Linked DNA regions of Canis lupus familiaris. The protein of the gene in region 1 interacts with the protein of each later gene in a biochemical or structural test. Links are inferred from orthologs where the notes say so. Each region holds a gene or a part of one and is shown on either strand. Other genes may lie near its edges. The genes, in order: H1-5, CCNA2, G2/mitotic-specific cyclin-B1-like, CCNE1, CCNA1 and PRKCA.

Evidence for each region.
Region 2: of the proteins of H1-5 (region 1) and CCNA2, one has a biochemical effect on the other in vitro, tested with the Homo sapiens proteins (2 studies listed by BioGRID). The link is inferred for Canis lupus familiaris from reciprocal best matches to the Homo sapiens genes H1-5 and CCNA2.
Region 3: of the proteins of H1-5 (region 1) and G2/mitotic-specific cyclin-B1-like, one has a biochemical effect on the other in vitro, tested with the Homo sapiens proteins (2 studies listed by BioGRID). The link is inferred for Canis lupus familiaris from reciprocal best matches to the Homo sapiens genes H1-5 and CCNB1.
Region 4: of the proteins of H1-5 (region 1) and CCNE1, one has a biochemical effect on the other in vitro, tested with the Homo sapiens proteins (4 studies listed by BioGRID). The link is inferred for Canis lupus familiaris from reciprocal best matches to the Homo sapiens genes H1-5 and CCNE1.
Region 5: of the proteins of H1-5 (region 1) and CCNA1, one has a biochemical effect on the other in vitro, tested with the Homo sapiens proteins (2 studies listed by BioGRID). The link is inferred for Canis lupus familiaris from reciprocal best matches to the Homo sapiens genes H1-5 and CCNA1.
Region 6: of the proteins of H1-5 (region 1) and PRKCA, one has a biochemical effect on the other in vitro, tested with the Homo sapiens proteins (2 studies listed by BioGRID). The link is inferred for Canis lupus familiaris from reciprocal best matches to the Homo sapiens genes H1-5 and PRKCA.

The regions. Positions count from the first base shown.
Region 1 is NC_049256.1:26,525,924-26,529,391, reverse strand, and holds H1-5 (histone H1.5), read left to right. Parts: upstream 1-1,339; 5' UTR 1,340-1,385; coding exon 1,386-2,066; 3' UTR 2,067-2,256; coding exon of another isoform or gene 2,257-2,697; 3' UTR 2,698-2,968; downstream 2,969-3,468. Other genes in the region: H2AC16 (histone H2A type 1-H-like), read right to left, coding at 2,257-2,697. UniProt on the Homo sapiens protein: Histone H1 protein binds to linker DNA between nucleosomes forming the macromolecular structure known as the chromatin fiber. Histones H1 are necessary for the condensation of nucleosome chains into higher-order structured fibers.
Region 2 is NC_049240.1:19,143,381-19,147,439, forward strand, and holds the start of CCNA2 (cyclin-A2), read left to right. Parts: upstream 1-1,259; 5' UTR 1,260-1,544; coding exon 1,545-1,757; intron 1,758-2,533; coding exon 2,534-2,777; intron 2,778-4,059. UniProt on the Homo sapiens protein: Cyclin which controls both the G1/S and the G2/M transition phases of the cell cycle. Functions through the formation of specific serine/threonine protein kinase holoenzyme complexes with the cyclin-dependent protein kinases CDK1 or CDK2.
Region 3 is NC_049250.1:29,512,802-29,515,959, reverse strand, and holds G2/mitotic-specific cyclin-B1-like, read left to right. Parts: upstream 1-1,257; 5' UTR 1,258-1,352; coding exon 1,353-2,636; 3' UTR 2,637-2,658; downstream 2,659-3,158. UniProt on the Homo sapiens protein: Essential for the control of the cell cycle at the G2/M (mitosis) transition.
Region 4 is NC_049222.1:122,573,046-122,576,545, forward strand, and holds part of CCNE1 (G1/S-specific cyclin-E1), read right to left. Parts: intron 677-3,500; coding exon 531-676; intron 412-530; coding exon 276-411; intron 1-275. UniProt on the Homo sapiens protein: Essential for the control of the cell cycle at the G1/S (start) transition.
Region 5 is NC_049246.1:4,258,242-4,261,612, reverse strand, and holds part of CCNA1 (cyclin-A1), read left to right. Parts: intron 1-900; coding exon 901-1,147; intron 1,148-1,333; coding exon 1,334-1,458; intron 1,459-2,076; coding exon 2,077-2,318; intron 2,319-3,371. UniProt on the Homo sapiens protein: May be involved in the control of the cell cycle at the G1/S (start) and G2/M (mitosis) transitions. May primarily function in the control of the germline meiotic cell cycle and additionally in the control of mitotic cell cycle in some somatic cells.
Region 6 is NC_049230.1:12,890,634-12,894,801, forward strand, and holds the start of PRKCA (protein kinase C alpha type), read left to right. Parts: upstream 1-1,368; coding exon 1,369-1,541; intron 1,542-4,168. Other genes in the region: glycine-rich cell wall structural protein 1.0-like, read right to left, coding at 630-1,370. UniProt on the Homo sapiens protein: Calcium-activated, phospholipid- and diacylglycerol (DAG)-dependent serine/threonine-protein kinase that is involved in positive and negative regulation of cell proliferation, apoptosis, differentiation, migration and adhesion, tumorigenesis, cardiac hypertrophy, angiogenesis, platelet function and inflammation, by directly phosphorylating targets such as RAF1, BCL2, CSPG4, TNNT2/CTNT, or activating signaling cascade involving MAPK1/3 (ERK1/2) and RAP1GAP.

The DNA.
Region 1 (3,468 bases):
ACCCTCCATTCCAACCTCATGGTTATTTCTTCAGTTATCTTGGGTGTTGTATTCTTTTTTTTTTTTTTTTTTTAAGATTTTATTTATTCATGAGAGACACCTAGAGAGAGGCAAAATTAGGCAGAGGGAGAAGCAGGCTCCCTCTGGGGAGCCTGATGTAGGACTCAATCCCAGGATCACGTCATGAGCCAAAGGCAGATGCTCAACCACTGAGCCACCCAGCTTCCCGGATGTTGTATTCTTGACTACTTCTGAGTGTCTATAACTTGTATTCCTTCAATTGCCAATCCAGTCTTCTCATAGTCCGTAGCCACCTATTTCTCTTAAATAAGGTCTCTCCTAGCTCATAACACAATAATGCTCACATTACAGAAAGGTGTTTCTGACAGCGCACTTTATTACATATTGATGGAGATAAGGACTTTGAATTGGGAAGTATTGGGAAGAGTACCTTGGAAGTCTGACAGAGTCCCATGTCACCTACAGTCTGTGTTTTTGAGGACTCCTGAAGCCCTTGAATACTTCCAGCAGGTTTGAGGTTTTCCTCCAGCACTTTATCTGTGCTAAGCATCTTTCCCATTTATTATAATGGATTTGCCTAATACTAAAGGTAGAAAGCATCTCAATAAAAAACATATCAAATTTAAGTTTTAATTCAAATTCAGGTCATTGGATCCTCAAGCCAAAGCTATTCCTCCTCCTCCTCCTGCTGCAAGGTAGATATCATTCTGGCTACTAAACTTTCCCAAACAGCCAAAGACATTCTCTAAAGACATCGGGCGTGTGAAAACTCCCAGGAGGCAGAACTGGCTTTTGAAGGAGGATCTATGTGGTTAATTTGGGGCTGCAGGCAAGCTGCTGCCCTCCCTCTGTGTTACTAACTACAGTTTATTCCCAAACCGAGAACCTGTGTCTTTCCTCTTACAAAAATCAAAGTGCAGACCTAGGGACATTTTTTAACATGTCCACTTGATACTTAGTAGAACTTACTGCAACTTTGAACTAACTACCATAATGCCTTAAACCCAGTGGATTCCTATGAAAAACTGAAAAGATTTAAAAAGAAAAATCTTTCATCTGTTGTACATGATTCATGAAAACACGAATCCGCATGTGAACCTAGAGACTGTTTTCTTCCTTGAGAGCTTCAACACGTCAAATTCTGTATAATAATTTTCAGTATTTAATCAGATTTTGGGAGCTAACAAACACAATTTGGGAGTCCAACCGCGAAGGGCGGCTGCCTGAGGGCAGTGGATTGGACGCTCCACCAATCACAGAGCAGCACCGGCTTATATAAGCCCCTGGCCGGAGTCAGGCAGCATTGCAAGACCTGCTCTTTCGTTTTTCCGGTTCTCTTCCTGCAGCGGCTTCTGCTCTCGGCCATGTCGGAAACTGCTCCCGCTGAGACGGCTGTCCCGGCGCCGGTGGAGAAGTCACCTGCCAAAAAGAAGGCCACCAAGAAGGCAGCGGGCAGTGGCGCTGCGAAGCGCAAGGCGTCCGGGCCCCCGGTGTCCGAGCTCATCACCAAGGCGGTGGCCGCGTCCAAGGAGCGCAACGGTCTCTCCTTGGCCGCGCTCAAGAAGGCGCTGGCGGCCGCCGGCTACGACGTGGAGAAGAACAACAGCCGCATCAAGCTGGGCCTCAAGAGCCTGGTGAGCAAGGGGACCCTGGTGCAGACCAAGGGCACCGGCGCCTCGGGCTCCTTCAAGCTCAACAAGAAGGCGGCCTCCGGGGAGGCCAAGCCCAAGGCCAAGAAGGCGGGCGCGGCCAGAGCCAAGAAGCCCTCCGGGGCCACTCCTAAGAAACCCAAGAAAGCGGCGGGGGCGAAGAAAGCCGTGAAGAAGACCCCCAAGAAGGCCAAGAAGCCTGCAGCCGCCGGTGTCAAAAAAGTAGCAAAGAGCCCTAAGAAAGTTAAAACGTCTGCCAAGCCTAAGAAGGCGGCCAAGAGTCCTGCCAAGCCCAAGGCGGTGAAGCCCAAGGCCGCCAAGCCAAAGGCTGCGAAGCCAAAGGCCGCGAAGCCCAAACCTGCCAAGGCCAAGAAGGCGGCCCCGAAAAAGAAGTAGGAAGTTTTTGCCCCTTGAAAAAGCCGACAAAGCCCCAAAGGCTCTTTTCAGAGCCACCCAGGTTTTTTTAAAAACAGCTGTACACTTAGACACAAATCTTGGTAATGGTTATGTAGCTTAATATAAGGCATTTTGGAAAACCCTGCGCTGTGTGCGGTCGAACCAATTGGTTCGGTGCTACGGTTCGGTACTACAACTGTGGTCCCACCGTTTCCCAGGGAATATTTTGGTTTGGGAGTTTTTTACTATAGAAGTCTAATTCTTTTCCTCCTAGCCTTGGCAGCAGCACGGCCTGGATGTTGGGCAGGACGCCGCCCTGCGCGATGGTCACGCGGCCCAGCAGCTTGTTGAGCTCCTCGTCGTTGCGGATGGCCAGCTGCAGGTGGCGCGGGATGATGCGCGTCTTCTTGTTGTCGCGGGCCGCGTTGCCCGCCAGCTCCAGGATCTCGGCCGTCAGGTACTCCAGCACGGCCGCCAGGTACACCGGCGCGCCCGCCCCGACCCGCTCCGCGTAGTTGCCCTTGCGGAGCAGGCGGTGGACGCGGCCCACCGGGAACTGGAGCCCGGCGCGCGACGAGCGCGTCTTGGCCTTGGCGCGAGCCTTGCCGCCCTGCTTCCCGCGACCTGACATGATGACAGACAACAGTGACTTGGATCGGAACAGATGGAGACCAAGTTTCAGTATTTATTATAGTCCTTACTGGGCGCCAAAATGAAGCTGTCCTATTGGCTGAACTTCGACTTTCATTAGAACCAATGCAATTCTGGTTTTCAAATACCCTTATTTTGATTGGATAGCTACAGGATGCTATCCAGAATTTACCACAAATCACTAGAGTTTAATCTCCTTCGCGTGAGGCTGTGAGTAAAGACTGCACGTAGTAACTGTTATTCTTTCCCCTTTTGGCTTTTGTTGGAGGGGAGTGGAGGTGTTGGGGAGGGGAGGGTTAGTTATTTTCCACCATGTCAAAGCAGTCAAGTTTAAGAAGTACACCAGGTCCAAGTGAGCCCGCCAGCGGAAAAGGTATTCGTCAGACACCCAAAGGCTTTTTTTTTTTTTTAAGAGCCATCCACACTTTCCAAAGAAAACTAATACTGCCTTTACCCTGACTTAGAGTTAGGCAAAAGCACATTTTCATCTGAAGGCTTTTGTACACACTCTAATTTTGCACAGAGTTACATTTTGGCCTTGTATGTTTTCAATAGGATCTAGCCTTTTTTTTTTTTTTTTTTTTAAGTTACAAACATCAAGCACTCCAAATTAATTTTATTGTGCATATTTCATTTAACATCCAAATTCTAAGAGTCATCCATGGAGTTAATTACTGAGAAAACTGCAAATTTAAGGTGAAAATGAAAAATAACCCTGAACTTGCAGTGAAAATCTTATTGTCAGAGCTTC
Region 2 (4,059 bases), on another chromosome or scaffold:
CTCTTGCTAGGTAATGTTTTGTGACCCGTGCTCAGTTTGTGAGCTTGAGTATGCTCAGTGCTATAAATTTTGGCCAGGGAAATGAGCAGAGCTGCACAGATTGAAGGGATCTTCACTTGCTGTCCTATAACCAGTAGAACTGTACAAGGCTACTACATGTGAATAGTGCAGAAATAGTGATGGCCTCTTAGATTTTCCTGCACTAGTGTCCACTGACTTGTTTTATCATGTAGAGAGGGAAATAAGACTTTAAAGCTACAGAAGTTTTATTCACTAATGTTAATTCATGTTTCTTCATACTCAGGAGAATATTGTGTTTGAAGATTGTTTTAAAATGGCGTAAAGATTATATAATCATGTTTTTAAGAAGGGCATCCTCATGAATTTGTCAGAAAACAAGGTCTCTTAATTCTTTACCATTATATTAATATATGCAAGCCTTGTTTATTAAATCTGAGAACTTGTTAAAGGCACATATCACTGAGAGTTTTATTTTAAAAGGTCATGTTGTTTTTATTTAAACAGCCTTCATTGCCAAATGGAACAAAATTCTGTATCTATGTCACTAGAAATTTCACTGGGTGCTTTTTGTTGGCTGGCACAGCTGGGAAAAGCATCAAAATTAGTGACTGTCTAGTTGAGTTTCTTCCAGTACATTACTATTTGTTTATATATATGTATCAACAGTAGTTAAGGTAGCACCTACCTAATCACATCTTCATGAGGTGAATTCGGAAGCATGACTGAAGAAACCCCTAAATGATACATGACAGTACAGTCCACACTCGAGGATCAGTAAGCAAGCATGTTAATGATTTACGCACATTACATAATCACAACAGCCATACGACATGTAGCATTTTACCCCCAATTAATAGATGAGAACACTGAGAATCAGAGACGTGTCATCACGGGGCCCGCCTACCAGGCCGGTTCGCGGCTGGGTCGGATCCGAGCTTGGGAGACCAGTCAGTCCAGCCAACTGAGGGCCCCACGGCCAGCGTTAGGCAGGCGCGGCCACTAACAATTGCTGGGGTTTGACTCCGTCGGTCCTAGAGACAGCCGCGGCCCAGCACCCTCGGGTCACCAAGTGGCCCAGTTTAGTCACTAGAAGTTCAGGCCCCGCCTCTTTGGCCGGCGCAGGCGTTTTCCCTCCCGCCGCCTTTCGGCGTTTCTCCGCCCCCGCTCCGTGGCCTTCACGGCTTCCTTCATTTGTCTGCGACCGTGTCGCCTTGAGTGACGTCAGGGGCATCGGCCCTTCCCATTGGCCCATTTCAATAGTCGCGGGATACTTGAACTGCACGAACAGCCGCCGCTCCGGCGGGCTGCTCGCTACATCTCGGGGGCGTCTTGAGCCCTCCACGCCCGGCAGTTCCTGCCTGAGCCTTTCGCAACGTCCTCGGAGCTGCGCGATCCCGAGCGAGCAGGCTGGCCCGGACTGCCGCGGGCGGCTGCGGCTGGAGCGTTTCTCGGCGGGGTCGGCGGGACGCAGTACACGCTGCTTGGCGCCGCAGGCTGATCCCGCCGCGACCCGGGGAGCAGTGATGTTGGGCAGCTCGGAGCCTGGGCCTGAGGCCCGCGAGGCGGGCTCGTCGCTGCTAACGTTGCAGCATACGGCGCTCCAAGAGGACCAGGAGAACATCAACCCCGAGAAGGCGGCGCCCGCCCAGCAGCCCCGGACCCGGGCCGGGTTGGCGGTCCTGAAGGCCGGGAACCAGCGCGTCCCAGCGCCGCAGCAGAGGCCCAAGACACGGCGGGTAAAGAGATGAACGATATCTGCAGGCGAGGAGGGCCGAGCGGGAGTTTTGCACGAGGTTTGAGCAGGCCGGGGAGCGTGGCGAGAAAGCATCTTCCGAGCTGTTGTAAGGGAGGCCTGGGTCTGCAGTCCCCTTGATGCCTAGTGTTCTGGCGCGGGGGATGCCACGTAAATCTTTCCCATAGCTCTCTTCGCCAGCGCTGTGTGTTTTGCTCCCTGTCTGCTCTTTATTTGGTATATTTTCCGATAGAATATGAGGGTCAGACCGAGCACCACGACGTATGTCCGCGCTTTCTTCGCCGCTTTAAACCCCAGGCACTGCCCTAGGATCTGGACCCCCTTCCTGCTCGCCATTTGGTTAAGATTACCTTTACTTTAGGAAAGAGTATAAAAAATAATTTTTTTTTACTAAATTCCGCCATTTTACCGGATTTGCTCTGTTGCTCCACCCTGGGGCCAAAGCGGTGAACCAACACCTCTTTGCCGGCTCTCCTAAACTTGTCATCATTCAGCCTGCTACCCCACTCCTCTTGTGGCCTTGATTAGTTTTGCATAAATGCATTTAGTGTGATTCTATAACTTATGTAGAAATGCCGCTAACGAACTTGAACATCCCTTTCTTCAGCTATTCAAACTTTACTGCCTGGATTTTGTCCCAGATAGTTTAATTTCCTTAGAGTATTTGGGAGTGAAAACAGAAACTGAGAACCGTAAGGGGAAGAAAGCAAGCAGAACTCCATTTAATAGGCTCAAAGCTAGCTATTCATTTCTTTTTAGGTTGCACCTCTTAAGGATCTTCCTATAAATGATGAACAAGTCACTATTCCTCCCTGGAAAGCAAACAGTAAACAGCCTGCATTTACCATTCATGTGGATGAAACAGAAGAAGAGACTCAGAAGAGGCCAGCTGAATCTAAAAAAACAGAACATGAAAATGTCCTGGCTTTTAATTCAGCTATTACTCTACCTGGACCAAGAAAACCGCTGGTACCTCTTGATTATCCAATGGATGGTAGTTTTGGTAAGTTTTAAAGAACATCTGTATCAAATCAATGTAATCCTAAAGTGATTATGGATTAATGATAGTTTCATTTTAAGACATTATTTTACCTGACCCTTACTATATAATGAATTTGGTGTAATGTAACAAAGTTTAGAAAGGGTATGATTCATCTCCGATCTCACAGCTCATACATTGACCTAGTGACCTATAAATCCTAACTGGGTGCTCCTTCCTTCCCATATTACTGCCAATCACATCAATTTAATTAGATCTCAAACCCTTATTTTAATCTGACCCTGGAAATATTTGCCTGCTTGGGAGAATAGATTTGAACCGTATTCATAAACTCACTGTGTACATACCACTTACGAGAGTATTTGAATAGGATACAGCTTTCAATATTGTGATATCTAACATCTCTTACAGCTTAAAATTTTCTGTAAATCCAGTCTGATACCAGAGAGGGACACTGTCCTCCTGTGAGGCAAGAGTTGAATCATGACTGCAGCTAACCACATATAAAATGAAGTAGCTGCTATAAAGCAAGCTCTGCCAACAGTTTATGCGTGCAACTTCTTTACCATACATAGATAGGTCTGTTGAGTCACTGGATAATTCATTCGTTTCATCTCATTTAGGTTTTAGTTCTGAGAAGTGGTCTGGGAATAGCAGGAAAATCCTTTGGAAATAAAGTAATTTTTGTATTTTTCTTGAAAATTTATAACAAACTTTAACCTTACAATGAAACTTGAAAAGAGTAATGAATGATATTCTTTGCCTCAAAAAGTAATTTAAAATTACAAAACATGAAACATTTGGTGATTATAGTGTTAATTTGTTTGAATTGCTCATAACAAACCTAATTTTAATTAACATTAACCCTGCTTTTAGTTATTGCTACATTGTTCTTTGAATATGTCAGACTTTGGGGTCAGCACTCTTAAGGTAAATACTACATAATACCACAAAACTTGGATTTTAACTGTCTTTGCAGAATCACTGTGCCATTTGCTCTTCTCTCATGGAATATGATTGATACTTAAACATAATAATACATTTTCAAGCACACTCTTTTAGTGGCCTAGCAGTATTTTCTCTTGTTGATTAAAACCAAGTGGACTGGGGATCCCTGGGTGGCTCAGCGGTTTAGCGCCAGCCTTGGGCCCAGGGTGTGATCCTGGAGTCCCGGGATCGAGTCGCGCGTCAGGCTCCCTGCATGGAGCCTGCTTCTTCCTCTGCCTGTGTCTCTGCCTCTCTCTGTCTCTCATGAATAAATACATACTTAAAAAAAAAGTGGACT
Region 3 (3,158 bases), on another chromosome or scaffold:
TCCTTATTTTTCCCCTTATGTACAATTTAAAACCCTGGACACTATGTATACAACAAACATCTGAAGACTCTAAAATGTGGAGAGAGGGCATATCAGTAGAAACACAGAGACTCAAGGAATGAAAGGGTGGTGAGTTTCCTAGGCTTTCTTTTTGCCTCAAATATTCCAGATTTGAAACTGAATAACTGGTAACCCAAAAAGACCAATACACACAAACAAAGCTCAAACAAAAGTCATACACCCATGGAAATTTGAGAGGAGAAAATATACTTGGAAATGAGAAGGGCAGCAGAAGCCAAAGAGAAGGATTTCGGTATTGAGTGTGTGTATTTCCTTTCTCTCCTCTTCATTCCAGCTCACTGCATTCCTCCTCCTATAGTATACATTTAGATTCCAGATCTCCCTGCTGCATCTGCATGCCAATACTTACACCATCACCACCTCGCTTGACTCCACCACTACCAGATAGGCCCCAATGTCAGAGGAAATACAGAGGCCAGGAATGAAGAAAAGGAGAAGTGGCAGGAAAATGCAAGGGCAGACAGTAAGATACTGAATTAACCTCTTAGCTTTCAAGAAGTTTTCAAAGTACCAATGAAGAAGGGAAAAGAGAGGGGTACCTAGGTGGCTCAGTGGTTGAGCATCTGCCTTGGGCTCAGGGCATGATCCCAGGGTCCTGGGATGGAGTCCCACATCAGATTCCCCACATTGAGCCTGCTTCTCCCTCTGCCTATGTCTCTGCTTCTCTCTCTGTGTCTCTCATGAGAAAATAAATAAAATCTTTAATTTAAAAAAAAAAAAAAGAAGGGAAAAAAGAGAGGAGAGACCTACAATGGTGTGGCTCTTCATACCCAAGTATACACTGAGTATTTATTAGGAGTTGCAAATTTACTACCACATTCAATTAAATGGAGAAGGTTTTATGAAAGACGTGAAAGAAGAAAGAAAGAAAGAAAGAAAGAAAGAAAGAAAGAAAGAAAGAAAGAAAGAAAGACAGACATGAAAATGTGGGAATTAACTGAAAGAAGAATTTGGTGAATTGCCAAGTTAAAGGAAATTTAGGAAACACTGCAAAGATGTCAATATATCAATTAAACCAAAAAGAAAACTGAGTATTCTCAATTATTAATACATGATTACAACCAATATTATACAAATATATTTAAATATACAATGAAATATAAGCTATATTATAATTACACATCAAGAAAAAACTAATTAGAGGTGCTGCGGAGGAACGGCTGTTGACCCGCGGGCCTCGGCTCCCGGCTCCCGGCTCCCGGCTCCCGGCTCCCGGCTCCCGGCTCGTCAGCGGCTCCCGCGCTCTCCTCTCCCCCCGTGAAGACGCGGCCATGGCGCTCCGGGTCACCAGGAACACAAAAGTGAATGTTGAAAACAAGGCGAAGATCGGTATGGCAGGGGCAAAGCAGGTGCCTCTGGCCTCTGCTGCAGCCTCCAAGCCCGGCCTGAGGCCAAGAACTGCTCTGGGAGACATTGGTAACAAAGTCAGTGAACAACCACAGGCCAAACTGCCTCTGAAAAAGGAAGCAAAAACTGCAGTTCCTGGAAAAGTCATTGCTAAAAAAATACCAAAGCCTCTGGAGAAGGCACCTGAGCCTGTCCCTGTCCCTGTGCCAGAACCAGAGCTGGAACCTGAGCCGGTTAAAGAAGAAAAACTTTCACCCGAGCCTATTTTGGTTGATACTCCCTCTCCAAGCCCGATGGAAACATCTGGATGTGCTCCTGCAGAAGAATATCTGTGTCAGGCTTTCTCTGATGTAATTCTTGCAGTGAATGATGTAGATGCAGAAGATGGAGCTGATCCAAACCTTTGTAGTGAATACGTGAAAGATATTTATGCTTATCTGAGACAACTTGAGGAAGAACAAGCAGTCAAACCAAAATACCTACTGGGTCGTGAAGTCACTGGAAACATGAGAGCCATCCTAATTGACTGGCTAGTACAGGTTCAAAAAAAATTCAGGTTACTGCAGGAGACCATGTACATGACTGTTTCCATTATTGATCGGTTCATGCAGAATAACTGTGTGCCCAAGAAGATGCTGCAGCTGGTTGGTGTCACTGCCATGTTTATTGCAAGCAAATATGAGGAAATGTACCCTCCAGAAATTGGTGACTTTGCCTTTGTGACTGACAATACTTACACTAAACACCAAATCAGACAGATGGAAATGAAGATTCTAAGATCCTTAAATTTTGGTCTGGGCTGCCCTCTACCCCTGCATTTCCTTCGGAGAGTGTCTAAGATTGGAGAGGTTGATGTTGAGCAACATACTTTGGCCAAATACCTGATGGAGCTATCTATGTTGGACTGCGATATGGTACACTTTCCTCCTTCTCAGATTGCAGCAGGAGCTTTTTGCTTAGCGCTGAAAATTCTCGATAATGGTGAATGGACACCAACTCTACAGCATTTTCTGTCCTACACTGAAGAATCCCTTCTAAATGTTATGCAACACCTGGCTAAGAATATAGTCATGGTGAATCGTGGGCTTACAAAGCACATGACTATCAAGAACAAGTATGCCGCCTCTAAGCATGCTAAGATCAGCACTCTGGCACAGCTAAATTCTGCACTAGTTCAAGATTTAGCCAAGGCTGTGGCAAAGGTGTAACTTGAAACATGCATTGGAGTATTGTAATATCTGCAAATAAAATTGGCACCATGTGCCATCTGTATATATTATATGTTACCTTTACTTACTTTTAATAAAGCTTGTGGTCCTTTTTAACTTCTTAAAAAAAAAAGAAAAAACTAATTAGATATATTTTCTAAGTTTTCATTTTTTTAATTTAAAAAAATTTTTTTTAATTAATTAATTTGTTGTTTAAGTAATCTCCATATCCAACATAGGACCTGAACTTACGGCTCCAAGATCACAAGTCGGATGTTCTATCAACTAAGCCAGCCTGGAACCCCTAAGTTTTCATTTTTAAGGTACAAATTAGTGTAACCGAAACTGCGTGTACTAGGAGACAACTAAAACCTTGAAATGAACATTTAAAATATACAGTCATTAGTGTATGCAATATCTTTTGCATATTTTAATCTAAGCTTTTCAAATTCTCAATACCTTTTGATAATATTGGCTAATGTTAAAGTCAAACTATATATCTCAGAAACCATATTCTAGAAT
Region 4 (3,500 bases), on another chromosome or scaffold:
CAATTTAATTAAAGACCAAATATCAATATTTACAGTTCAGTGGAAAAGAGAACTTTTGTAATTATTTGAACTTGGAAGAAAAAAAATTAAATGCCAACCTCAAAATATCTAAGAGGTAAAGAGACTTCAGAAATTCTTCTACGGAAGAACCCAAGCAAAAGAGTGGTACTTTGGAGACACAGAAAAGTGTCAATGGGGTATAAGACACACAAAGAGGTCGTCAAAGGTTCTAGAAGTGGTCAATGCTTCCAGTCGACAGGAAGACTCAAGCTCACCTCCATCAACCAATCCAGAAGAATTGCTCGCATCTTGGGCTGCAGGAGGGGGTGCCGCTGCATAAAGTGCTTATCCCGTAAGTATGTCTTTTCCTTATTTAGCATAATTTTCCAGACCTCGTCTCTATTTGCCCAGCTACAAGAAACAAAACCAAGCGAAAGACAAGAAGTAGGCGTCAGTATGCGTCCACACTGACTTGGTGAGATTGTGCACAAGGAGCAAAAGACCTGGAAGGCACGTGGCAGGCAACTTACTTCAGTAGAGGCAGCGGCGAGGCTCTGGAGGGCATGAAGCTCTGCGGTCCACACACGGAACTTGGGTATGCTGGCTCATCCTCTTCTTTGTCAGGTGTGGGAATCAAGGAGCAGGGGTTTTCACATGCGGGATTATTGTCCCAAGGCTGTAGAAGAAAACACACATTCTTAAATGTTTGATAGGAACCAGCTATGTGTACATTCATGATTTGTAGAACAGCCAGTAAAACAGAAAATATCTTCACACTAGAGAGCAATCTCCAGGCCTAAATACCTATTCTGGCCTAAATGAGGATGAAGATGGAACGAGTAAGTAAAAGCCACAGTAAGGACTCCAAGCTTTCGTTTCACTTGCCACTGGCTTAGGAGTCTATGCAGTAAGTATCTAAGACGACTACAAAGTCAGTAGCATTTTATCCTCCACACTGTCGCCGTCAAACCAGTACCTGAGCAGGAAGATGGACCCAGGAGGGATTAAGACAAAATGCAAACAGCTCTTAGGAGTACAAAAACCGACACCACCACCACCTATACAAATCCACCTGCAGCTCGGTAAGAAACTGGGCATAACCTCTGAGGTATGCTGTGGGATTATTTGGTCACAACTCAAAGATTTGTTTTTTTTTAACAGGTACAACTAATCTACCAAAACTTCTTAAAAGTGAAAGAATTCCAATAAAAGTATATTTACATGCGCACCGCACATTCACAAGCGTAAAGACCAAAAATGTAAATTACCATCTGTATTTAGTGTCCCCATCTTAAGACGTAAAACCATCAAATGTGACATCTCCTGGTTGCAAGACTACCTAATATATTACATAACGAGGACCTTTTGTTTTCCTTAACTCAAAACAAAACAAAAAGAATATCTGCCTAGTTAAAACCAAATCCAGGAATGGTCACAGGATATACTAAGAAGTCCGTGGAGATAGAAGCCAGATACCCCTGAAGACCTTTGAATCCTGCCCCCAAAGTCTTGCATGGAATGAGGATCCAAGAACTGATAAGGGAATAAACCATCATTAAAAACGCAAACAATATGCTTTCCTTTCAAAGATTCTAGGTACTTAATTTTATTCGATTTTCAGTATTTGGAAAATAAGAAGGTCCTTTTGCCATTTACAAAGTTTTCTTTGTCAAGCTGCTCTGTTTTTTTTTTTTTTTTTTTTTTTTTTTGAGTCGTAAGAGTGGTTTTGTGGACAGTGCGGCAAGTAACAATCCCGCCAGCACGGAAGTCCTGTGGAAGTCTGAGACTCTTGGCCTTTTGTTTTAAAGCAGACAGTTCATTAAGGCTGACCAGAGAAGAAATGGGACAATTAGAAATGAGCATGGGATGTGGGCTCCAGGTGCTGCCTGGAGGATACGGTAGTGGGGCGCGCACAGCACACCGGCCACTTTCAGAGGCGGCCAGAGCACTTTCAGTGTGCTGAGGAGAGCAAAGCAGGATAAAGCTCTTCTCCACCCAGGGTGCAAAGAATTGGGCATGCAAATTAACCATGACAACTCCTGCCAACAGCTGTTCCAGAAGGGCAACCTCCCCTTCCAGCTCTAGTCTCATGTGCTGGTAGCATTTCCTTGACTCAAAACGAGTCACATTACAACTGCTTCAAGCTGCTCTTCATTCGAGAATGAATTCTAGCTGTGAAGGCAGAAGCTGGGTGCCACCCTCTACAGCCAGATGGCTGAAAGGGCTGAGAGCAGCCTTTGAGGATAAAATGGCAGCAGTTCCTAAACCACAGTGCATAGACAGACTGGATGACCCACAAGCCACAAGTGGTTCGGAAACCTGGACCCTTTAGGATCCAGCACGTGAGGCACAATAATGAAGTCGAAGTCTCGAGTGTACGCTGGGTTTCAAAGAGGCCAGATCCATCTGACTTTAGGAAGGACCGGGATAAGAGCAAGACACCAATTTTGACTATTTCTAAACACCCCCGACCCCTCATGCCACTTTTAACTAAGAACAGAACTACCTATGTAGAATCAGGTGCTGAGAAGTAACTACTACAAAGTCCAGGATTTCACTTCAATTAAAAAGGTGGGTCTCCTGCAAAAAGTTAAACAACAAAACGGATATGCTGAATGGATTTCAGATAAAAGGGTAGTCTTTTGATTAGGAAAGGCCTAAGGTAACACTCAAAGGTTCTCTGTGTCCTGAGGAAGGAGTTATAAGGAGTTTAGCACAATGCGCCACAAGTAGCTCCAGGCCACTGTACTGGGCTGAACTAGAACTCCTGACAAAAATTCCGTGTGATAATTGTGTTACCCCAAACTTCTAGCTTCATGAATCTACACAGGGGAAAACCAGAACGAGTGCTCCATAGATAGATGGGCAATCTTCAAGCTATCTGCTCTACAAAACGTACAGAAACCTGTTGTCCTTAATCTCTGAACAACCAGGAAAATTCCTTCTCGTTAGTGGGAAATGATAGGAGTATTTAAATACCACGGCTATCAATGTGCACACTTTGGGGACAGGCCCACAGCCCGATTTTAGGCACCCTAGCACTGCTCCGGTCCTCCTCGAGAACAAACTACTCCAACAAGTGGATATGGATGCCTTCGCTTCACTCTCAGAAATTTCAATTCCCAAAACAGCTGGGAAAATAAGCAATCCCGAGTTTCACAAAGTGGAGAGCCATTTTACCACGGCTCATAAAAATCAACCTGCTTAAAGTTTGTTTGCTTTTTGTTTTTTCAAGGAGAAGAAAAGAAAAGAAAGGAATGTCTTATTTCCTTCCCTAAAGGAAAGTATTTCTTCATCTAATGAGAAAGAAATCATCAACCCCTTGTTCGATATTAGGTCGATCTCCCCAGAATTGCTAATTTCTAGGGTCTACGTGCAGGGACGACAACTATTCCTGCACACCCACTGCTTCAAAGCCCTTCACTCTGCCAGAACCAGCTGCCACAGCTGTTGCTCAGTGCCCAACACAGCGACGTGCTGCCCACTGCTAACCTAGTTGG
Region 5 (3,371 bases), on another chromosome or scaffold:
GAAGATTTGTTGAGCGAATACTCTCTTGTCTTTAATTCTTCTCTTATTCTCTTTTGACTCCTTTTTTTTGTCCATTCCTTACTTGACTAATCCAGCAGCCTTTGACACATTTGATTATTCTTTATTCCTTGAAATCCTTTCTTCTCGCTCGGCCTGGAGAACCATACTCTCTTGGTTTTCCACCTTGCTCATTGGCCACTCTTCCTCAATATCTAAAAGAGTGCTCCAGGACTTGGTATTTGATCTGAATATGCACTCACTCCCTTTCAAACTTTCAAGCCTCTTAGCATTAAATACCATCTACCTGTGCTCATACTTTTATCTCTGATAGATTTCCTCAAGGGACATTATGTCATACAAGAGATTCTATGGCTTTGTAAGAGAAGTTAATGGTAGGAGTTTCTAAAACAATCATGTTTCTAAATATCTGAGTATAAAATGGAAACTTTATAGGCACTTACTTACTGAAAGCTGTTTAAGGAGGAAGACTGTAGGAACTCAGTGACTATATATCAAGAGGTACTTATAAAATCCTATAGGCTAGAAGTATGAAAGCCAATTAACAATCTCCCTCTACCCACTCACCCATGCAATACCTATCCTCATTTTGGAGGATAGCTATGGTTTCTTTTTTTTTCTATAATCTTGAGTTTCCTTTGATAGATATATGAGGAAGATGACAAATTATAGGTAGCTCTTTTCCCAAATGTTAGATGTAGATAAAGATAAGGGAGAAGTCATATTTCAGAAGCTTCATTTTCTGAAATTAAATTGCAGACCTAGATATTTCAATTTAAGCCTGTTCGCATCTTTCTGGCTTGCTGGCTTGGGTCACACAAGCTCATATCACCTATACTATCTTCAGGGTGGCCTCTCACAAAAAACTTAATCCTCTTCCAGGGGATCACAACAATCCGGTGCTTCTCTGGATCAGAAAATGTCGTCCCTCCAGCTGGAAAGAAAGTGTTCTCTGACTGCAGGGTCCAGGTGCCAGCCAAACAAGGATTTCATATCTACATGGATGAGGCTGAGCAAGGAGACAGAGACAGCTGCACTGGGAGAGAGGGGATGGCATTTGAGGATGTGTGTGGGGTAGACACCAGCACACTCAAGTCAGACCTTCACTTCCTGCTGGATTTCAACACAGGTAATCCGACTCACCTATGGCTGGTGGTACTCTGTACTCATAATCGCCTGCAGCATTCAATAGCATGTAACTAGCAGGAGAAAACCATGAAGTAATGCCTTATTTTCACAATTGCCTGTGGAGGGTTAGTGAATGCAATGAATTTTTAAACTGAATGTCTTACCTGATAATGTTGAACCCCTGCAGTTTCCCCTATGCTGGTAGATTCATCTCTCCATTCCCAGTCTGAAGATGCATCAGATTTTGGTACAGATGTGATAAATGTGACTGAATATGCTGAAGAAATTCATCAGTACCTTAGAGAAGCTGAAGTGAGTTTTCCCAAATTCTATTTCAATTTCTAGCACTCAAAACACTTAATAACAAGATAGCTATAAACTTCTGGCCAAATCCACTAGTGAATAGCATTCTTATGGCATCCAAATGTAGGAATATCTATGAAAAAGAATAGGTGTGGGGTGCCTGGGTGGCTCAGTCAGTTGAGCATCCAAATCTTGATTTCGGCTCAGGTCATGATCTCAGGGCCTTGGGATGGAGCCCTGTGTTGGGCTCCTCAGTCAGTGGGGAGTCTGGTGGAGATTCTCTCTTTCTCCCTCCCTGCCCCCCAAGTAAATAAATCTTAAAAAATAGTAATAGTTGTGAGGCAAGTAGCAATTACTTGGACTATTTCTCCACAACTCAAAGGGTTTATGTATTCAGTATTTCACTCTTAGGAATAACCCATATTGCTATTCCCTGCCCCTCCTCCTTTAAGTTATTTGTTGTTACCTAATTGCCTTACAGAACCAGAATTTCATACGTTCTTCCACATAGTAAAGATGTGTTTGGCTCTTGATCAGTTTCTTCCTAACCTTTGCTCAGAGATTATTTGTTAAATAGCCACTGTACCATGGAGCGATCTTTCTGATATACAACTATTTAAGTATTAGAACTCTTTTCCCAAACAGATAAGACACAGGCCCAAAGCACACTACATGAGAAAGCAACCAGACATCACAGAAAGCATGCGAACAATTCTGGTGGACTGGCTGGTTGAGGTCGGCGAAGAGTATAAGCTTCGAGCAGAGACTCTGTACCTGGCTGTCAACTTCCTGGATAGGTTTCTTTCTTGCATGTCTGTTCTGAGAGGGAAATTGCAGCTTGTAGGAACAGCAGCTATTCTTCTGGCTTCGTAAGTATTCTTTCAGCTTAAATAATGTAAAACTGCAGCCTGTCAAAACACTTGATTTTCTTTCCCATTTGTTGAAGAAATGCTCAATAATTAAGGCTTACTCATGCCTCCCTTGATAAAGTATCATTTTTGCAGTATTTACTGAGAAACTGAATCTTAACATGCAATCTTAACACGTGTTCACTCTTCAATTCCGATGTTTAAGATTTATAGCAACAAGTTCAATATCATGAACAGATAACCATCAGCTCAAATTCAAGATCCAGTTTAACTATTTTGCAGTGTGGTCTTTTGACTGCATTCTAATACAAAAAGATTGTGGTTATAGAAAATATTTTGATTATACAAAAGCCATCGTCACGATCTAGCAAATGACCTGTAGTAACACAGTTTATTTGGTTCCAGTGAATAAACTATCACTGTGTACAAAAAGAGCTGGCTTCTGCCTGAACTGCCTTAAATTCAGTGACCTGTTGGTAGATGGCAGTGTCTTCAATTCTTCTGGTCTTGGACATTCTACTTATTAATGCCCAGAAACTTGCCAAAATTCCCCCATAGAAAGCAGAAACTAAAGCAAAAGAGTTGATAATAATGAAATTCTATCATTATCTTACTCTTGGATACATAGCATCATTTGCTAATCCAATTGAGAAAAATTCTGAACATGATCTTTTTATTTTTATTATTTATTTATTTTGAACATGATCTTTTTAAAGATCTACAATCTAAGGAGCTTTTATTCTACGCTTGTGTTCAATATAACATTCTTTTCCACAAGATGAGTGAGGTTTATAGAATTAAGAGCAATTTATCTGTATGTCTGTCATTCAGAATCTTTCAGCATATCAGAGGCCACAACCTAAAATTCTCAGTTGGAAATTGTCTCTGTTACTACTCCTAGCAGTAAGTACAACATATCCTTGCAATACTCATGCTCTTGTTCTGGCATCAAGATCTGAATATTTTCAAGGTCGGTACCATTTAGTAATATTTAAGTGGATATGTGGATACAGAGGAAAGAAGTCTTCAAGGGCCATGCAAAAGGCATGGTTG
Region 6 (4,168 bases), on another chromosome or scaffold:
CTTGGTAATTTACAAGTGTTCTGGCTGCACTCTGCACCTGCCAGTATCGCAGTAATTAGTTTAGGCTGCAAAATGATTTCTAAATTAAGGTTCCGGACTTGTAAAATCAAGAAAGGCTGATAATCACCGTTGTAACTGTGGTAGCCAACGAGTAACGGGATGGAAGGCTCGGACAAGTCCGTCCAACCATCCCACGTGCCCCTCAGAGGTCTCTGCGAGGTGCAGGTGGAGAACAGCTCCACAGTTAGAGGCACGTGGTAGAGACCGTGTGCGATGGTTTACAAACACGCTCTTGCTCCTGTTATACATAAGCAGTATTTTTTTGGGGGGGTGGGGTGTGTGTGTGCGCGCGCGCATAGGGCTTGGGCATCGCGCCCAGGAGCGCCCACGGGTCCTGCAAGGTGGGGAAGGGCGAGCGTCCGAGCAGGTGGGACGGAGGGCGGCGCGGGGAGTCGGACTTCTCGCTCGGGGCGAGGGGGGCCGGGAGCCAGGAGGGGAAGGGACGAGCTGGGAGGGAGCCGGGGAGCGCAGCGGACAGAGCCGGAGGAGCGGAAGAAGGGGCGGAGGGAAGGCGAGGGGAAAGAGGCGGCGGAGAGCGGCCCGCCCCTCCCGGCGTCCTCCTCCGCTCCCTAACTCGGGCGGGCCCGGGCCGGCCGCCGCGCCCCCTCCCGGGGCTGCGAGCAGACGGCGGAGGCGCCCGCGCGCTCCCGGCCCCCCCGCGCGCTCCCTCCGCGCTCCCCCCGCGCGCGCTCCCTCCGCGCTCCCGCCCTCCCCCGCGCGCTCCCGGACCCTCCGCGCGCGCTCCCGCCCCCCCGCGCGCTCCCGGACCCTCCGCGCGCGCTCCCTCCGCGCTCCCGCCCTCCCCCGCGCGCTCCCTCCGCGCTCCCGCCCTCCCCCGCGCGCTCCCTCCGCGCTCCCGCCCTCCCCCCGCGCGCGCTCCCTCCGCGCTCCCGCCCTCCCCCCGCGCGCGCTCCCTCCGCGCTCCCGCCCTCCCCCGCGCGCGCTCCCTCCGCTCTCCCGCCCTCCCCCGCGCGCTCCCGGCCCCCCCGCGCGCGCTCCCGCCCTCCCCCGCGCGCTCCGGCGTTCCGGGCATGCGCGGTGGGCGGCGCCGCTCCGGGCCGCCCCTGCCGCCGAGAGTAGGAAGCGCGAGCGCCGGGCGCCCGGCTGTCAGTGCGCGTGGGGCCAGCCCGCCAGCCCGCCAGCCCGCGAGCGGCTCCGGCTCCGGCTCCGGCTCCCGCGCCCGCTCCGGCCCGACTCTCCGCGGCCGCCGCCGCTGCCGCCGCCGCCCAGCCCGGGGTCGCCCGCCGCCCCGCCCCGCCCCCGCCCGCCCCCGCTCCCCGGCCGAGGCAAGAGGTGGTTGGGGGGACCATGGCTGACGTTTTCCCGGCCAACGACTCCACGGCGTCTCAGGACGTGGCCAACCGCTTCGCCCGCAAAGGGGCGCTGAGGCAGAAGAACGTGCACGAGGTGAAGGACCACAAATTCATCGCCCGCTTCTTCAAGCAGCCCACCTTCTGCAGCCACTGCACCGACTTCATCTGGTAGGTGCGCGCCGTGCCGGGGACCCTCGCTCGGGGCGCGCCCACTCGGGGAACTTGGGGAGCCGGCCGAGTCCCAACCCGCGCCGGGGACACTCGCGGGCGGGACTCCCGGGGGGGTGGCCGCCGGGTCACACCCCCCCCCCCACCCCACCCCGGGTCTCCCGGGCGCTCCCGCCGCTCGCTGGCTGTGAGCAAAGGGGAGAGCGAACGGGAGAAGCCAAGGGCAGAGTTTCCCGGAGGAACCGGGGAGCGGCGGCGGCTGCGCTGCGCGGTCCGAGCTGCTGGCGAGCCGGTCCGGGCGCTTGCGGGCGCGCGTGTTTCCCCGCGGGCCTGGGCTCCCCTGGACCCCTGGGTCCTTGCCTACCGTGGCTTGTACCTGCTGGGCACCGGGGGGACTGGACTTTGGAGGGTGAGCCCGGGGAGAGGCAGCAGCAAACTGTTGCGAGCTTGCGGAGGGGGAGGGGGAGGGGGAGGTAAAACCGGGCAGGCAAAGGGCTGAAGGGCAGAGGGACTCATTTAAAATAGACCCTGTCAACACGAGATTAGACCCGCAGCCCGGGGGATGAGGACAGAGGCCCTAGTTAAGGAAACCACCGTTAAGGTGTCCGAGTCCGGGCGCGGAGTTTCCAGGGAACGCCGGTGTTGGCTGGTGGGCGCAGGGGTTTGGAGGAGACGGAGAAAAGGGACGCGCCCCCCCCCCCCCGGGTGGGGGGGTCTCTGAGCCCTGTGATGCTGGGCGGAGCTGTGTATATACCTCTTTCTGGTGAGAGTTTATGGCTTTTACGGACTCTCAAAACCTTGACAACCCTCCCTCCCTCCAAGACACCGCCCCCCCCCCCAAAGTTTAGGAGGCCGAAGTTGAGGGAACCCCAGGTGCTCCGGTTTGGGCAGTGAGCAAATCCCCCCCCCCCGCCCCCCAGGATGGTAGGAATCCAGCCTTTTTCTATCTCCTGTTCAGGAATGTAGGTAGAAAGCGCCCCAAGTCGGAGCTATTGCAAGGGTTCCTGAACTCCTGTCTCTCCAAGTCGGGGTTGCACTGGGGTGGCAGTAAGTCTCCGTGTGGCACGTATCTTGTTGGAGCCCTAGGCAGCACTTAGAGATGGCTGTGTGAATCCATCACACCTGGGGGGAGAGCAGCTTGAAGGGTGGATTCCACAAACGTGGTGCTAATAAGACACTTTTTCCTCAACGGATGGCGTCTGAATTCATCATCCTGGGATGGGGGTGGGGGTAGGGGGAAGAATCAGGAGTCCTGCAGTTGTGCTGATAAGGTGCTTAACTCTTCTTTTATGGATGGCATTATCCGAACCTATCACGGCTGGAGGAAATCCCCTCTACAGGCCCTACAGATGTGCTACTAAGATACTTTTCCTTTATGGATGGCTATCTGAATCCATCACACCTGGGGGAAAGCATCTCTAAGGGAGAGTTCCTACACATAGCAGTGCTAATAAGGGGCTTTTCCCTTTTCTTAGAAATCTCAAAAGTACTTTTAGGAAAAGCACAGCCACCTCTATGAATGATTTCTACTATGTACTCAGCGTATGAAGCAGTTGTGCTCTAAGGAGCGAGTAACTGTAGATACGGCTATCTAAAAAGTACTTAGAGCGTCAGAGCGGGAGGTTACTGCATCTAGTCAAGGAGAGTTCTTCAGGCTCTCCTGCCAATTTGAGGGATCCCATAAAAGCACTGAGACTGCTGACTACTTCTGAGGGAAGTAGGTGAATTAGGAAAGGGACTTGCGGCATACATACCCAGGCAAGCTGATGTCTTTCCACTGTCTGTTGCCCTAAAGGATTAGCCCCTGGTGAACTGCTGTGGCCCTTGAGGTCACCAGGTGTAATGTGAAGCGGAAAATAAGGTCTCCCTGTCCGCTTCCTCCCTGAGTAATTCCTGTAACACTTCTCCACCTAACCTAGAAACTACTTGGAAGCTCCAAGAAAATATTCACTAGGGTTATCTAGCCAGTGGTATTAACTTCAGTTGTTTTTCATTGTTTCTACAGGGCCTTAATCTAGGAGTTTGTTTTAAATATTAAGAGCTGATACTTTAAATGTCTGGGAGATGACTAAGTTACATATAAAGATCTATGAAGTGCTTTGTCAACTTAAAATGCTGTGTAAAGCAGGAGATTATGACTAAGACTTTTAATGCAGTTCATCCTAGTTGAAGCAGTGTTTACAATGTAATGTCCGTGGTAGGACTCTCTGCTCAGAGTAAATCTGCCAAAGTAATTTACAAGAACAAAATAGCCTCTGTATTTGCTTGGAATACTACTGATGCTCTAAAAAATTAGATCATAACTTCCAATGCAACAACAACAACAAAATATTTTGTGAAATCTGGCTCCTTTTTGAACCAGAACTTAATGTGGAGTGGTACATTGTGGCAGTTTCTAGACACCTATTTTAAGTACATACATAACAAATGAAGATGCTTTTTAGTTGTGTTTAGGGGAGAAAAAGGATTTTCCACTTTCTTTAGGGATAAAATTAAAGCACTTCAATCATAGTCTTCATTTGTTGACCACTATAGTTCAACTCTGAATATCGTAGTCCTGCTCTTGTCTGGAAATTTAAGTATGGTTCACAAAGTGTAAATTGGAAAGAACCTTAAAATGTTGAAAT